Linked DNA regions of Nothobranchius furzeri. The protein of the gene in region 1 interacts with the protein of each later gene in a pairwise test. Links are inferred from orthologs where the notes say so. Each region holds a gene or a part of one and is shown in the gene's direction. Other genes may lie near its edges. The genes, in order: asl and mcmbp.

Evidence for each region.
Region 2: the proteins of asl (region 1) and mcmbp interact in binary tests that used the Homo sapiens proteins (3 or more experiments, as listed by UniProt). The two-hybrid records come from large-scale screens. The link is inferred for Nothobranchius furzeri from reciprocal best matches to the Homo sapiens genes ASL and MCMBP.

What each region holds. Positions count from the first base shown.
Region 1 is NC_091750.1:61,109,627-61,113,730, reverse strand, and holds the end of asl (argininosuccinate lyase), read left to right. Parts: intron 1-1,884; coding exon 1,885-1,969; intron 1,970-2,159; coding exon 2,160-2,219; intron 2,220-2,320; coding exon 2,321-2,404; intron 2,405-2,629; coding exon 2,630-2,710; intron 2,711-2,835; coding exon 2,836-2,942; intron 2,943-3,076; coding exon 3,077-3,221; 3' UTR 3,222-3,374; downstream 3,375-4,104.
Region 2 is NC_091752.1:5,506,612-5,510,656, forward strand, and holds the end of mcmbp (mini-chromosome maintenance complex-binding protein), read left to right. Parts: intron 1-166; coding exon 167-284; intron 285-357; coding exon 358-523; intron 524-603; coding exon 604-737; intron 738-1,181; coding exon 1,182-1,349; intron 1,350-1,426; coding exon 1,427-1,515; intron 1,516-3,034; coding exon 3,035-3,161; 3' UTR 3,162-3,398; downstream 3,399-4,045. UniProt on the Homo sapiens protein: Associated component of the MCM complex that acts as a regulator of DNA replication.

The sequences.
Region 1 (4,104 bases):
TCCCGACCAGGGGTATGAGTGCGTCGGTTGTCCCGATGCTCAAGTGCGGAAGTTGATCACGCCCCCTTGCACGCTTGATCTGCATTTCATGTGCATCAATGCTGACTTTAGCGAACGGTATTACCCACAATCCATTGCTGAATGAGAAAAGGCTCAAATGCCTTTTTCTGAAAAAATATATTTTCTAATGAAAGTAGTTCATTTTAAGACAGTTAGTTGATGCTCTGAAACTTTTAGACAAAGCAGCAATTAACATATATTTATTTCAAATATATATATATTTGTCTACAGTTGTTAATAAAGGTTTATTTTCCAATGTATCAGAGTGACCAGCATCCCAGCATGTGTTGCGGTTGATTAAGCAATGCTCCCTATCTCAATTTGGCAATTATTTGCACACGTGTGTACCACGCACTCAAAGCCTTACTGCACACTTTCTCCACGTGCACTTTGCTGAAGACCGCAGGGTGCAGTGCTAATATTGGGATTGGGCCTAGATCCCTCTTTGGCCTTTTTAAAGTTTCCTGCTCCTCTGCCTTACTGGTTGAAAGTGGAATAACAACTGTCGTAAAACAACCCTGCTGTAGCTAGTGCTAACAATGAGCTAACACTAACATGAACCAACTATGCTAAAATTAACCACAAAGTAAAAGGATCCACACTGTTGGACATAAAATATTAATACTTACAAGTCCAGCAGTAAAAAAAGTCAGGTCACCATCAGTCCGAGATTTCTGTAGGGCACCTACCCGCTCCACAAAACTATCAAGTGCAGTTTTTGGCCAGCAGAGGGCAGCAGAGTGGTGTCAAAAATGAAACTGAGCAAGTTTCTAACTGATCACTGTTAAGCCGGGCGTACACTGTGCGACTTTTTCACTTTTTTGAGCCGATTTTCCAGTCGTGCGAGAAGCCACGATATCGGGGCGAGTTTTGCGCCGAGCGGTCGTGTAGTGTACAGGGGGTTACGAGAGGCGATTAACACCACGTGACCAGCCGCCGATCAGCAGTCGTGAGGTCGCAGGGACTTCTGGTGCGTTTAATATTTCGCTCGTCCCTCGTGAGGGTATCGCACTGTTGAAGCGGCGCTGCGAGCAGCTGCGAGCAGCTACGATCCAAAAAAGTATCAGAACCGCTCACGGCGCATGCGCGCGCAATCCTGCATCAACGCCGGTCGCTCGCTATTTCCCTAATAACACACGCTGTTCGTTTTTGTTTCTACACGTTTTTTTTACTCACAAAGATTGTCAAGAAAGCGTGTTTGTCGTGTTCATGTCAAATTAAACTGATCACAAAACACAGATTCACTTTCTTTATTTCGTTTTCCTCATCTAACCCCCATAAATCCCTGTGTGTCCTCCAGCAGCACTCCCGAAGGACAACAGGCAAGACAAAAAAGTCTGACGTGTTGAGTAAAAACTGCTATTTTTAGCACATTTTTAGGGCCGACGTGTTGCTACCAGACGTACAGTGTGAGCAGTCAGGTCGCATGCGAGAACTGGGTCGTACAGTGTGAGCACACGACTCGTGAGATCTGCTCTGCGAGGAAGTCGTACAGTTTGAGCTGAAGCTGAGTGCTACGAGTGAAAAAGCCGCACAGTGTACGCCCGGCTTAAAAGCTAAACTGTTACTACTTTAAAAGGAGAAAAACTGGCAGTCGCCCAGCTGGCTGAGAAGGAAATCTGTTTCAAAGTCGCCTTCATTCCAACAGGTTATTATTTCACAATAAACATCTTTTCAGTTTGATGAGCAAAGCAACACAGTCAGAAATAAAAATAGCTCATTTCATAAGTTATGTATTAAATGTAATGCTGAGGTGTGTGTTGCTCTGTGTGCTTCATAAAGCTCTTCCTCCTGTGTGACGCTGCTAGTCTCATCTGTTTGTAGCACAGGCAGCAGTTTGATGCCTCAGAAGAAGAACGCTGACAGCCTGGAGCTGATCAGGAGTAAAGCAGGTCGTGTCTTTGGCAAAGTAAGATTTAGGACTAGTTTTTGTTGTATTTCTGCTTAACATATGTTTATTAAAGGGCTAATTTAACGTTTTTACCTCGACGGTAGCTCATAATTATAGCAGCAAAATGTTACAAACATTTTTTCTTCATACCTACCATCACAACAATAATATTAATGATAATTTCACATTTAATTATTTTATATTTTAGTGTTCGGGGTTCATGATGACACTCAAAGGCCTGCCCAGCACTTATAACAAGGACCTGCAGGTTTGATAGGACGCCTCCACTGTGTGTTATCTCACATCATGAAAAAAGAAATCTAATATTCCTGACTTTCTGTTCTATTTCTCCTCTCCGTTCCTGTTCAGGAGGATAAGGAGGCCATGTTTGACTGTTTCGATACTGTCCAGGCTGTGCTGCAGGTGACAACTGGAGTCATGTCCACTCTTAAGGTCAGAGACCTAAATCACTGATAGTTTTATGCGTGGATTTGTATATCCTGTTTGTTTAGTTTGATGATCAAAATGAAAACCAGAAGTATGAGATTGTTAGGATTACTGGAATAAAATCTTGTGTCAAAGTAAAAACGCTGAAGTATTTTGACAAAAATAGTCTGTATTTCTGTTTTTTAAGGGAACATTAGAATCAGTAGCTCAGTTTCATTCCTGGTGTTTTAGATCAACCAGAGCGTGATGGAAGCTGCCCTGAGTCCCGACATGTTGGCCACTGATCTGGCCTACTACCTTGTGAGGAAGGGGGTGAGTTAGAGGCGCTGGCTATCCATGTGTAGCAGACGCCGAAATAAAGAAATAGATCCAGAGGTGTAACAGGAAGTGTGGGACTGAAGCAAATATGTGAAATCATCGCTGCTTTCTAATTGCAGGTTCCCTTTAGAGAGGCTCATGGAGTCTCTGGTAAAGCTGTGTTTGCAGCTGAATCTCAACACATCAGCCTGAATCAGCTCACTGTGGAGGACCTGACTGCTGTTAGGTGGAACTCTCATGTTTCCGTCAGCTGTTGTAGCATCTAATTTTACTTTTGATATTCAAAAGTTTCTCCCTGATCTCAGGATTTTGAATCGCCTCTAATTTTTTTTTTTCCTTTTTGTGTTTTTTTGGCTCTAGCCCTCTGTTTGGAGGCGACGTTTCCTCAGTGTGGGACTACAGGAGCAGCGTGGAGCAGTACAGAGCCCCCGGAGGTACAGCCAAGAGTAGCGTCGCTGCGCAGGTGGAACACCTGAGGATCTGGCTGACAAAGCAAACACAGTGACTTTAATCCCAGCTACTGCTGTCAGGTTTAGGTCAAAGTAAACTGTTACATCCAGACACGGCTTTGATTTTCAAAAATGTGTGCCGTCTCGCTTAACCGTCCTGTCTGATCAGTGTTCAGCAGGTGACAAAATAAAGTTGCTGTTACACTTTACTGCTGAGTTTGAATGATTTGCACCATGAAACCAATGTTCCTTCTTTTATAATCCACAGATTGTCTCTCCACATAATCCATAATCAAACCATTTTAACTACGTAAACAAACATCATGCCATTTAGAGGAACAAAAGAGCATTTCTTCGGTGAGAAAGGACTAAACATGCAATCAGGTCCTATTTAGGAGAATTAAAGTTGCAAATAAAAAAGCTGCAATTCATAGAATAATGTCTTTTAATGTAAAATGTGTCTTTTTCATTCTACAAAGAAACAGGCTTCTGGTGTTTGCTCTTATTCTGTTACTCTAATACTTCACATGTTATCTCTCATTCATACATGGACATAGTTTTGACTTTAGAAGGGGGGGACAACCGGCATGAGGAGCGGGGGGGATCTTTACAGTAAGTATGCAAAAATACAGCATAGAGGCTCTTTTATAGCCTGGCAAGCCAGACTAAATAAATGTATTATTTAGTCTGGCCACGCTCCATTGACGGCTCTCGGTTGTGGGGCGGGTTCTACCGTTGTCTTTCAAATGATCTCCGCATTCCATTGGACAATGAATGTGACATACTCTTGTTTCACTCTGTTGCATCATCCCACCCACCAGGCACATAGAGTGCCCTGATTGGTCCACAAAGCGGATAAAGCTCTGTGATTTGTTCACTAAGCAGAAAGAGCACTATGATTGGCCCACCAATATGGACCAATCACAGCTCTTTATGTGT
Region 2 (4,045 bases), on another chromosome or scaffold:
GCTGTAGAACCCTAAGAAGGTGCTATTCAAATACAGACCATGTACCAAAACAAAGCCAGGATCCAAAAATGTCTCTTATTTTTCCCACGCCCCCTCCAGAGCTCAGTAAGTTCCCGTTTTGTGGCTTTGGGGATGCTTTCGCCTGAGTTTGATTCCTCCCTCCCAGATATGCCAGAAGGGATGTTCTCCCCCTGGGAAAGTTCACCTTGAACCTGAGCGGCTGTCCGACCGCGCCCCCGTACGCCGAGCGCCTTTACCAGATCATCCAGCAGCTTGTGCCTTCGGTGAGTCCAGACCCAGAGGTTTCCGTTTCCGTGCGTTCGTCTGCTAATGGGCCTTAAATGATTTTACCTGCAGTCCCATTACCTGGGCATGAGCCTCCAGAACATGAACCAGCTGCGGCTGGTGCCTAAGAAGGACTACATCGCAAACCGCCTGACGAGCGGAACCCTGCAGCTGTCCCAAAACACCTCCCTCTTCCTGGATGAAACCCAGCTAGAGCAGGGACAGTTGGACACAACAGGTGGGACCTCTGCTAGCCACAAGGGGGCAGCACTGATCATCCTAATGATCTGGTAAGCAATCTTCTCTCCTGTGTTGTAGGTGTGCGTAATGTCACGGCCATGGGGAACCTGATCTCGTGGCAGAAGGTTGATTATGACTTCAACTACCATCAGATGGAGTTCCCCTGCAATATTAACGTGCTCGTCGCATCCGAGGGTCGCTCACTGCTGCCGGTAAGAGCCAATCAGGTGCTGCTGCAGACTGTAAACTCTCTCCTGTCTATTTAAGACGCGCACCCCGGTTGGGTTTCCACTAGTTTCTCATGAGACGCAGCCGCGTCAGAAGCTGGAGGTTGTGCTAACAGCTGCCACTGGCCAGCTGCAGACCCCCCTCCGTGCCGCAGCCTTAGCCGGGGTGACGCGCTGCTGCCGGCAGCACGAGGAATGCGCCATGTGCTATTCCTGGATGCTGCTCTAATGAGTTGCCGTGTTGGCAGCTGCGTGCTACAGGAACAATCCAGGGAGTGGCGTCACATGGGGCGATATGCTCACCCCGAGCGCTGTAAACAAACCTGTACATGGCAGCGTTTACGTCAGACTGTTTATGCTGAACCGTGGGCTCAGGCTCGAGGCTTTCTCTGGCTCCTGGGTGAAGTCCTGACGCTTCTATTCCTACAGTCCGACTGTCACATACATCTGCAACCGCAAGTGTCTTCGTCCCACGTAGAGGAGTACATCAGGAGCGTCCACGTCCACCCGCAGGTGTCCTCGCAGCTGAACAAGTTCAGAGTTTATCTGGGCGTGGCACGTCTGCTCGACTACAGCATCTCAGACGACGTGACCAAGGTGAGGCTGGACGTGTGCCAGGACACGGTTAAAGAGCCTTTTGGTTGTTTTTACATCTCTGCTTTCTGCCCGTCAAGTCAGTGGAGGAGGACTTTGTGGAGATGAGGAAGGACGACCCCCAGGGCGTTTCTGCAGAAGATCTCCACAGGCTGCTTGTAGTGGCCAGGTGAGCTCAGACTAGGTTCTCCTCCAAAGTAGAACTGAGTTTTATTAGCTTACAAGGCTGTTGAAGACTAGGTTCTTCTAGGAACCATTTATTTTTTAACTAATTATTTCTGATTTTAACAGTTCACTCTGAGGTTTTTCATGCAGGCTGAACATGATGATAGTCTCCTACACCTATCTCCTGCATTAAGGTTGGTTTATGCTTGACGCGTCCGCGAGGGCCGCACGGAAAAGTTGCGTCATTTTAACAACCACGCCCCTCCACCGCACCTCCGCACGGCCCAGAATTTCCGCAACGCACACCTCGGAAAATTTCTAACCACGCGGACGGACGGACGCGGGAAAACATGGCGGACCGGCAAGATCTAGTATGGCAGAGGTTCGTAAATACAGACATTTGTATGATTCAGCTCTCAGAGATCACCGTGATCAACATGTTGTTAATAATTCTTGGAGAGAAATAGCTCGCACTGTCGGAAAAGACGAGAACGCTGTTAAAAATGCTGAAATGCCATGTTGTAAACAGTAATTTCTACTTCTACTATGGTGTAGTGTTGGATGCATGCCATAGAGCTCCATGCTGCCCCCTACAGTTTGGGAGAATATTGGCTCACCGCAGAGACAAGCCGCACGAACCATAAACGCTGCGAGTTGTGAAGCGCGTTCCATCCGCGAGCCGCATCACCGCGTGGAAAGTAAATGCGTCAAGCATAAACCAAGCTTTAGCTTCTGATAGAAAACAGACGGTGAAACTCTAGGATTAGAAAATCCTGACAGATCTAAGTCACACTGTCACTAACATTCATCGACTCGCCCATGTTGGCTCACGACGGGGAAGGCTGTTGTTGGTTTAGCGTCCAGGAAACAGCAAAGAACGTCTCAGCTAGTAGAAGCTAACTGTTAGCATTAGCAACTCCACCACACAGCAGAACTTCTCCAGGCTTGTGTTATTTGTGGAGATGAAACATCAACGTTGCAGAGCAGTCAGTGGTAGAGTCGTGTTGTTGTTAGCCAATCAGAGCTGTCCAAATATCAGGAATCCAAATCCTGTCGTCTGTAACTTTTTTTTTCTCTGGCAGCCTTCTGTGAGTTTTTGTCCCCGGAGTACGACTTAAAAGGCATTTATTCCACTGCAAAAATATAAAAAAATGAGTAAAGTTGACCAAAATGTACATTTATGTTCCTGAATAACATCTGCACAACAAATGCTCTAAAATCTGTTTTTATTTGCCATATCTGGCCGCTGCTGGTGACACTTACTCCATAAGTTCCACATAAATAAGCATTTATTGTAGAAACCTGAGCGTGAACCGTTATGACAGATCAGTAACTGGTGTTGTGTTCAGCCTAGCCGTTAGCTCATCGGTGCGGTCATAAAAGCCGTTTGTCCAGACTGCGGCTCCTCGTGAAGGTTAACTGAGCGCCGAACGATGCCTTCTGACCGTCGGCATCTAGATTTCCTGTTCAAGATGAGTGAAAAGCTGAAACCCGACTGAGTGTGTGTGCGTCTCCGTCCGCAGGTTGCTGTCCCTGAGCCTGGGACACACGTCCCTGTCCAGAGACAGCTGGCTGAGAGCCAAACACATCGAGACACTGCGAAGGAGCCGAATAGAGCAACACAAGAGCGTGAACGGCAACGAGCCGTGAGCTCACGCGCGGGACAGCTCAACGGTTTTCCTTTTGTTAGAACAGTTTAATAAAGTTTTTTCACCTTTTTGTAAACTAAAGATTTATATATTCCAACTAGAATTAAAGGTATGACTCAATAACAGCCGACTGTTTATAATGTGTAACTGCAGAGCCAACTTCCTGTTTACATTCAGCACGGTGCATTTAACAGTTTGTCTCACGAGTAAATAGATTTAATAAAACTTGTGCAGCTCATGTGTCATCTTTTCATTCCAGACCAAAAAGTGTAAAATGTTCTTTTTATTAACACCCAAAGATAATAAATAGGATCCTTTAATATACAACACATCTGAGTACACGGTGGAGAACAATGTCATCGGTCAGGTTGGTACAGAAGAGGAGACGTGACATCGGGGAAATGTGCTTCAGCAGCGCCAACAGAAAAAACCTGATATTTGTGTCTCGGGTCGAAACGAAAGGACACAAAAAATGCACTTGGTGTGAAAACAAAAGGAGACAAAACAGCCAGCAAATGTGTCAAAGTAAAAAAGCTGACAGCATCAGGAGGAATGCTTTTTAGCACAAGATAAAACGAACCGCTCCAGTGTTGAACCTGATTAAAATTCCCGTAAGCGTTAAAACTGCGCTACAGCTGCAGCTTTGGCAGCACCACGTACTAAAAGCAGCACCTGCAAAGCAGCCAAGACTGAAGTCTCGTGTCACACGAACCAGACAAACAAATCCACGCGTTACCTGCTGGTGAGCCAACGGGAGTGAGGACTACAAAGATGGGACCCCTTTCATCTTGGGACACTTAGCCACAAAGCTAATCCTCATCATTTGTGTTGATCAACAACAAGAAGCCAGGGAAAACCTGTACTTAAGGATAAAATATACAGTTT